2 linked regions of the Macaca mulatta genome follow. The protein of the gene in region 2 interacts with the protein of the main gene of each other region in a biochemical or structural test. Links are inferred from orthologs where the notes say so. Each region holds a gene or a part of one and is shown on either strand. Other genes may lie near its edges.

Region 1 (3,954 bases), on a different chromosome or scaffold from region 2:
ACAAATCAACATTCTGGGCACTATCCTAAGAGAAAACTCTTCCAGAGCAGATACTTCAGAATTAATTTTCTCTCTGAATTTGGCCAAGTTTGGTGGTTTCATTCACAACATTTAAGGAAAAAAGTGACGGTTTATGGATAGCAGGTAATAAAAACAAATCTTTATACCACTTACTAGTAATAGAAACGGTTTAGGCTCACAAATGTGTTAAAGCTTTCTCTTTCCCCGCAATGGTAGTCAAACAGCATAAACGAATCAACATTTCCTCAGTTCAGATCTCAACTGGTTACAGGCAAGCAAGGGCTCCTCAGAATTTGCTTTACTAATGGTTTAGGTCAGAAATTTTTTTGAAGATCAAATGTCTTGCTATGTCTTCGTGTTCTTTTCCCCATCTCTATTATGTGTGTTGCCCTGTTGGTCTCCTGACACTTCCATTTTCTCCTTTTATGTTCCTGCTATGCTCTCCCAATGGCAGTAACCTAGGGTATAACTGATCACACCTCTTGTGATTTTTTTCTTATTCTAGGACTTTCCAGATCTGGACTCCGAAGAAGACGCCCAGGTGTAAGCCCAAAGGTTACCTATTTAAATTTTCCAAGCACAGTGTGTGGAAAATCATTCCTCGCCCTTCATTTTGTGTTGCTTAACGGCGCTGTCGTGCCTAAACGTAGATACTGGCCAAGAGCTAGATTTCCAAAATGGCTTTGCTCCTTTCGAGCTGACATCGGTCTATAACATGCAATTTATTTCCCCTGCAGGCAATCTTTTTCTCTACTCCAACTACTACCCGATACACAGAAAGCTGAACCTAACCCAGTGTAAACACCGATTCTCATCTGCTAAATTCAGCAAGGCCGGCAAAGCTGTTGCAATGATGTAAAAAGAGCGTTAAAAAATTAAAAAAAAAAAAAAAAACACAAAAAACCACAAAAAAACAAAAAACGCCAAAACACCCACACGAAGCCAACCGGAGGGGCGGGCGTCGGCCGAATCGCGCCCTCCCGCCGCGGCCACGCCTCCCCGCCGCGGCCACGCCCCCGCCGCCCCTCTCCGCGCCGCCGCCGGCGGCCTCCGCGCGGGCCTCCCAGCCCTTATTCCACTCACTTTGTTCTCCGCCTTTGTCCTAATCCACACCAGCAGGTGGAGCCGCAGTTAAAGTTTCCGAGTCCATTCCGGGAGCGGGAGCCCATCTTGCTGGCTGCCGAGGCCCTCGCTGGAGGAGGAGGGTCAGAGCTCGGGTGCAGCCAATCGAGGGCAACGCTGCTACTTATCAGAGCAGAATGGGCTGTAGTTTAGTGAAATAGGAAAGCTGCAAAACACTGTGGAGTGCTCCCGTGTAAATAAAAAGAGGAAAAAAAAAGTTTCTCAAGTCGCCGCTGCACAACGTCGGGCCGGCGCTGGGGCGGGGGTCTGCGCTCTCCCGAGCGGCCGCGCGCTGGACTTTATTGTGCCGCAACCAGCCCCAGTTCCCATTGTTTGTGTTTTTTTCAAAATATGGCAAAGGTTCAGGTGAACAATGTAGTGGTGCTGGATAACCCTTCTCCTTTCTACAACCCGTTCCAGTTCGAGATCACCTTCGAGTGCATCGAGGACCTGTCTGAAGGTGAGTGCGGCGCCCGTGCGCCCGGGCTGTCAGTTGCGGGCTGCAGACGTTGAAAGTTTCCCGGGCCCGGCCTCGCGCTGGGCGGCTGTGTTCGGCGCCTGGCGGCCGCGGGCTGCTCTGCGGAGGGAAACTTCAAGTTGATGGTCGACGGCCGCCGAGGCGCGCGCGGCTTTCCGCCGCAGCCCAGGCGCCTGCCGGGCTCAACTTGCGAGGAACTTGTTTGAGCGGAGGAAGCCATGTTGTCAGCTTTGTCTGCGGGCGGGCAGCTCGGAGACCCGCACTCGCGCCCGCGGCGCCTCCTGGGGTCGCGCCGGGCTGGCTTAGCGCCGCCAACAGCTTCCGCGACCCTCCGGGCCCGGGCACGGAGGCTGGGAAGGGAGAGGCTGTGCGTGTGGTCGCGCCGGCGAGTTCGGAGCGGAGCCATCTTACCCCAGTCGAGAATTGGGCCAGCGACCCCGGCGCACGGCGCCTCTTCTTGCCCCTTCGCCCGCCTGCCCCCGGCGAAAGGGAGGCAGTAACTCTCGAGAGCTCACGGTGGAGTCGCCGCACTCTCCGGGCTGGCCATGCCTGGCCGCTTCGGGGAGGAGAGCGAGGCTGTCCTCGCGCTGATTTCTGGCTTCCTCGACCAACCAGCGGGGGAGGCGGGCGCAGGCTCGGCCCCTCCGCGCCGCGGGCTGGGCGCCGGCACTCCCCGGGGGCCGCGGGTCCTGTTCGGCCGGTCCTCTTCGGCCGGTGCCCGGGATGCGCCGGGATGCTGGCGCGCAGGCTCCCCAACCAACGTGGACTCCTTTCCCCTAATGACGAAAAGCTAATCTCAGGAAGAGAGAGAGAGCTGAGCTAGGAAGTTACATTTAACCTAAGAGCAGAAATAAGATACTTAAATAATTTCCAGGACTTAATCTCTGCCTTCTAAATAGTCTGAAAGAAGACTTTCTTCAAGAGCGTGTTGAAATGTAAAATAACTCCACATCCAGATGCAGAACACACCCTAAACATAAAACACAAACGTAGGCTAGGAAATTAAGGTAAACAACTCATGTCAGTCCAAGAATTCCTGGTATTTTTTCTACATATATTTTAAGGTCTTAAAAATACGTATTCTTAATATGTTTAGTAATAAATATTTAGAAAGCTAAAACAACAATTATCTTTGCTTTAATTATATTTTACTAAAGTAATTCAGTACTTCATTTGCCAGTTTTGAAGGGGAAATAGTTTAACTTCATCGATGAGGGGCATACTTCTTTGAACTAGAAGTGTATTTTTAAAATGCTCTGAAGATGATTTGGCTAATCGTGGCATGTAAAACTTTTCATTTTAAAAACTAGTTTTTAATCTCTAAAATGTATGTATCATATGTAAGGTTAATTTTAATTATAAAACAATATATATCATTGTAATAAACTTTTAGAAAGTTGTACAGGCATATATAAAGTTAACAGTTCTCTGTACTCAATGCCTTCCCCTATCTCCTTTAGGTAATCACAATTACTACTTTAACATGTGCCCCTCTGTGGGGTTTTTTTTTTTTTTTTTTTTTTTTTTGGTAAACCTATATAGAGTATAAATGCACATACATATATAGGGCAAATTTTGAAAGATGATTCATTTATTAAAATAATTTCAAATAGGCCATTGATAACACTTAGGGGTATTTTTCTTATTACTCTGAAGTCATCTGTATGATACTACTATTAATATAAGCATTGCAGCTACCAGGCCCATTTTTCACACCCAACAGTCAGTAATTTTTTTTTTTTTTTATTGCCAACTGCATATAAAAATAGACAAAAGAAAAACCATTGATCGGTCCATTCCAACTTACACCACAGTGTTTTTCAAGTATACCACCAGAAGTTCTTCAAATTACAGGTATTTCTCAAGTGATGCCTTCCATTTTAGGAGTCAGCTCTGAACAAAGAAGATAGATGACTCAGGATGTCGTTACAGGGCTTTTACATTGCATAGATGAAACCAGCCATTCATAAAGCCAAAACAGGTTCCATTTTTAACTGGGATCCATTCAGAACCCAGCTGAATCACATCAGGGTTTTACAGTACTGGTATCAAAAATATACTTATTTCCAATGGTATATTTCACTTCCTAGGCACCATTACTGAGCATTTATTTAGTATTTTAAAAAATATTTTAAGCTGAGTCATACTGAAGCTGCAAAGGAATCTTTCAAAAAGGTGCCATGCCTGTATACTCCACCTAGAGGCTATGTGGATTAAGGAAATTGAGTTTACTTAGCAAAGGCTTCTTATAGGTTCCATACTTTTATATTATAGTTCTTTTAAAAATTCTGTTCTTAAACTATAGAATTTTTTTTTTTTTTTAAATGAGACAG
Region 2 (3,945 bases):
CCTAAATGACAGATTGAGAAGGTCGGCCATATCTGAAATAAAAAGCATATCCAGGCCAGGCCCGGTGGCTCATGCCTGTAATCCCAGCAATTTGGGAGGCCGAGGCAGGTGGATCACCTGAGGTCAGGAGTTCGAGATCAGCCTGGCCAACATGATGAAACCCCATCTCTACTAAAAATACAAAAAAAAAAAAAAAAAAAAATTAGCCGGGCGTGGTGGCAGGTGCCTATAATCCCAGCTACTCGGGAGGCTGAGGCAGGAGAATCGCCCGAACCCGGGAGGCGGAGGTTGCAGTGAGTCGAGATTGCACCACTGCACTCCAGCCTGGGGAATAAGAGCAACACTCTATCCCACCCCTCCTAAAAAAGCATATTCAGCTCAAATCTCACTATCTGACACGAGACACACAGGTATCTATCTGGTTCCTAAAGAATCTCTGAAGAACAGCAATACTCACCATCTCCTCCCGATGCTAAAATTTCCCCAGTTGGAGAAAAACGCACGACATTGACAGCTTTGGTATGACGAGCAAGATTGGACAAAAATTCCACAATGGCTTTTCCATCTGGTCCCTTTTCTACCTTCCAGATCTGTCAATACCAAAACATTCATTTGAAAAACATAGAATAGGCACATATTATACTGTTTGTATTAAAACAATACTATGGGCTGGGTGTGGTGGCTCACAACTGTAATCCTAGCAGTTTAGGAGGCCAAGGTGGGTAAATCACTTGAGGCCAGGAGTTCAAGACCAGCCTGGAAACATAGTGAGACCTGGTCTCTACAGAAAATTTTAAAAATTAGCCAAGTGTGATGACACATGCCTGTAGTTCCAGTTACCCGGGAGGCTGAGGTGGGAGGATCACTTGAGCCCTGGAGGTCAGGGCTGCAGTGAGCCGAGATCAGGCCACTGCATTCCAGCCTGGGCGACACAGTAAGACCCTGTCTCAAAAAAAAAAAAAAAAAAAAAAACTATGCTTATTTTCAGAAAGAAATCCCCATCTAAAACATAAATGTCTACTGTTCCCCTCCGCCTTCTTTCTAGAGCAACTTGTTACCCAATAGGAACCAGGATCAGAATCCCAAAACAATGAACGTCCAGTTACAATAATCTAGGGAAAATGAATCAAATAAGAAAGCAGAGCCAGGGCATGGTGGCTCAGGCCTGTAATCCCAGCACTTTGGGAGGCCAAGGTGGGTGGATTACCTGAGGTCAGGAGTTCGAGCCCAGCCTGGCCAACATGGTGAAACCCCATCTCTACTTTATACAAAAATTAGCCGGGTGTGGTAATGAGTGGCTGTAGTACCAGTTACTTGGGAGGCTGAGGCAAGAGAATAGCTTGAACCTGGGAGGCAGAGGTTGCAGTAAGTCGAGATTGCACCACTGCACTCCCGCCTGGGCAACAGAGCGAGACTCCATCTCAAAAAAAAAAAAAAAGCAGCTCTCTTTTGCTTTCATTGTTCACCGCAGGCCCTGGAAATTTAGCATTCTGGGCTAGATGACAGAGTAGTTTGAATTTGTTGACATATGTTCAATTCATTCATTCATTTACTTAAGAGAAGGGTCTGGCTGTGTCACCCAGGCTAGAGTGCAGTGGAGTGATGGTTGCTCCCTTCAAACTCCAAGCCTCAAGCGATCCTCTCACCTCAACCTCCCAAGTAGCTGGGCCTACAGCTGCACACCGCCACGTCCTGCTACTTTTTCATTTCTGGCTATGTTGCCCAGGCTGGTCTCGAACTCCTGGACTTAAGTGATCCTCTTACCTCAGCCTCCCAAAGCACTGGGATTGCAGGCGTGAGCCATCGCGCCCAGCCGACATCGGTTTTAAATAAAAGAATGAAAACTATTGCTTCAAGCAGTGTTCCCAGATGGCTATCTCTGCCCCAGCTTACCCTGACAGCGGTGTCCACGCCCGCAGACGCTAGTCTGTGGATCCTCCCGGCCGCCCCATGCTGGAAGTCCAGGCTGTACACGGGCTCCTTGTTGTGCCAGGCTATTTCACAAGTGATGACTTTCATCCTCCTGAGTCTTGAAGGGGCAAAACGTTTCTCGGGCACCGTTCTACTTCAAGACGGAGGAAAGCTGCAAAATGCTGGTGATGGATTAAACAACAGTGTTAGCAGCAGCGAAGGGTTACTGAGCGCTGAATAGGGCAGGAGCCATTTAAAATGCACACTGCATTGGGAAAGGATGTTAACGTTGCCATCTGACAAGAACACCTTGCTAGCTCCACCTAAAATGCTTCGCTGGGTCCTGACATCCACAAGTTTATGATACGCCGCTACGTCCAGAAAAGCAAAACCAAACATCCAGGTAGAGGCTACCTAGGGGCCCCGGCCATCTGCACGGCCTGTCCCCGCTTAGTAGGGTCTAGGGGCGCGCCCTGAGAGCCCAGGTAGGGGCCCGCCCCGGGAGGGGCCTCCCGGAAGAGGGGGGCAAACGGGGTAGGGGACCGGGGCGGCGGGGCGAGAGCAGAACCCCGCCTTTCCCAGGGACCGGGCGCTGGGCCCGGGAAGCTGGGACAGAGGCCGCCGGGAGGAGGCCGCGCGGGGCCGGGGGTGGACGGGGCCCCGCCGCCCGAACGCGCGCCCTTCGGAGCTATCCCGGGCCCCAGGCCCTGGGCAAGGGCCTCTGGCCCCAGATCGACCCGACCAAAAGAGCCGCGGAGCCGCCCGGGCCAGCCACGGGAAGCCGTACCTGCAGGAACCCGGACGGTCAGAGGCGCCGTCACCTCCCGCGCAGCGCGCGCTGCTTCCCGCGCGCCGCAGGCCCCGCCCCCCGCATGGGTGGGACCTCATGGACGCCCCGCCCCTCAAGCGCCTCTCAGGTCCCGCCCGACGTGGGCGGCACCCCAGGGAAGCCCCGCCCCCTCCTAGGCGCCGAGGCGAGTCCCGGTCTGGCCCTGGGGTCGGAATCCGGGCCGGAATTTATTCCCGCCAGACCCACGATTGCAGGAAGAATGGATTCACTATTATTTATTATTATTATCCATTATTTATTCCTTGTTGATTCGTTCTTTTAGCAAACGTTTACAGAGCCTGGGCTGTGTGTTAGACAGACCCTATGCTGGCGCTGTGCACTTGGGAGGGCGAACACGACCGGTTCTCCTGTCCCTTCTGCAAACAAAAACTGAGATCTCTGGGTTTCTATATTGGCTTCTAGAACATTTTGGAGAGTTCAAAGCTATGAAATTCTTCAGTACCTAGCGCAAGATTGCTTACATTTTATTATTATAGTAGACGAAGTTATAAATCCTTTCTTTTTTTTTTTTTTTTTGAGACGGAGTCTGCTCTGTCGCCCAGGCTGGAGTGCAGTGGCCGGATCTCAGCTCACTGCAAGCTCCACCTCCCGGGTTTACGCCATTCTCCTGCCTCAGCCTCCCGAGTAGCTGGGACTACAGGCGCCCGCCACCTCGCCCGGCTAGTTTTTTGTATTTTTTTTAGTAGAGACGGGGTTTCACCGTGTTAGCCAGGATGGTCTCGATCTCCTGACCTCGTGATCCGCCCGTCTCGGCCTCCCAAAGTGCTGGGATTACAGGCTTGAGCCACCGCGCCCGGCCTTATAAATCCTTTTTAAGAACAGACTCACATTTTAAAGTGAGGCGGTAAATTGATCGGTAGGCACAGATACCGCAGGCCTTTTGAAATGGGACGTTTCCAGATGAGACCTAATTTATCTGTGGGCTTCGCAGAAGGCCAGAAAACAAGTACCTCTGGATGCGCTGCTTTTACTGGATAAAAGAAACACACAGGTTTATCTGAGGAACCAACTGCTCTAGGATTTTTGGAAAAAAAGAACAGACATGGATTCTTATATAAATACTGGCTGATGCTTTTAGCCAGCTTTATGAAAGGTACAGATATTGCCTAAAAATCAGTGTCTCATGTTGATAAGAATGGCTGTATGCTCCTTGAAGCCTGATTTCTACAGGAAGCTAGAATAAC

Evidence for each region. The genes of interacting proteins can lie anywhere in the genome.
Region 1: the proteins of CHAF1B (region 2) and ASF1A form a complex in vitro, tested with the Homo sapiens proteins (2 studies listed by BioGRID and IntAct). The link is inferred for Macaca mulatta from reciprocal best matches to the Homo sapiens genes CHAF1B and ASF1A.

Annotation. Positions count from the first base shown.
Region 1 is NC_133409.1:23,859,364-23,863,317, forward strand, and holds the start of ASF1A (histone chaperone ASF1A), read left to right. Parts: upstream 1-1,154; 5' UTR 1,155-1,494; coding exon 1,495-1,603; intron 1,604-3,954. UniProt on the Homo sapiens protein: Histone chaperone that facilitates histone deposition and histone exchange and removal during nucleosome assembly and disassembly.
Region 2 is NC_133408.1:11,041,997-11,045,941, forward strand, and holds the start of CHAF1B (chromatin assembly factor 1 subunit B), read right to left. Parts: upstream 2,801-3,945; 5' UTR 2,699-2,800; intron 2,094-2,698; 5' UTR 2,020-2,093; coding exon 1,894-2,019; intron 591-1,893; coding exon 458-590; intron 1-457. UniProt on the Homo sapiens protein: Acts as a component of the histone chaperone complex chromatin assembly factor 1 (CAF-1), which assembles histone octamers onto DNA during replication and repair.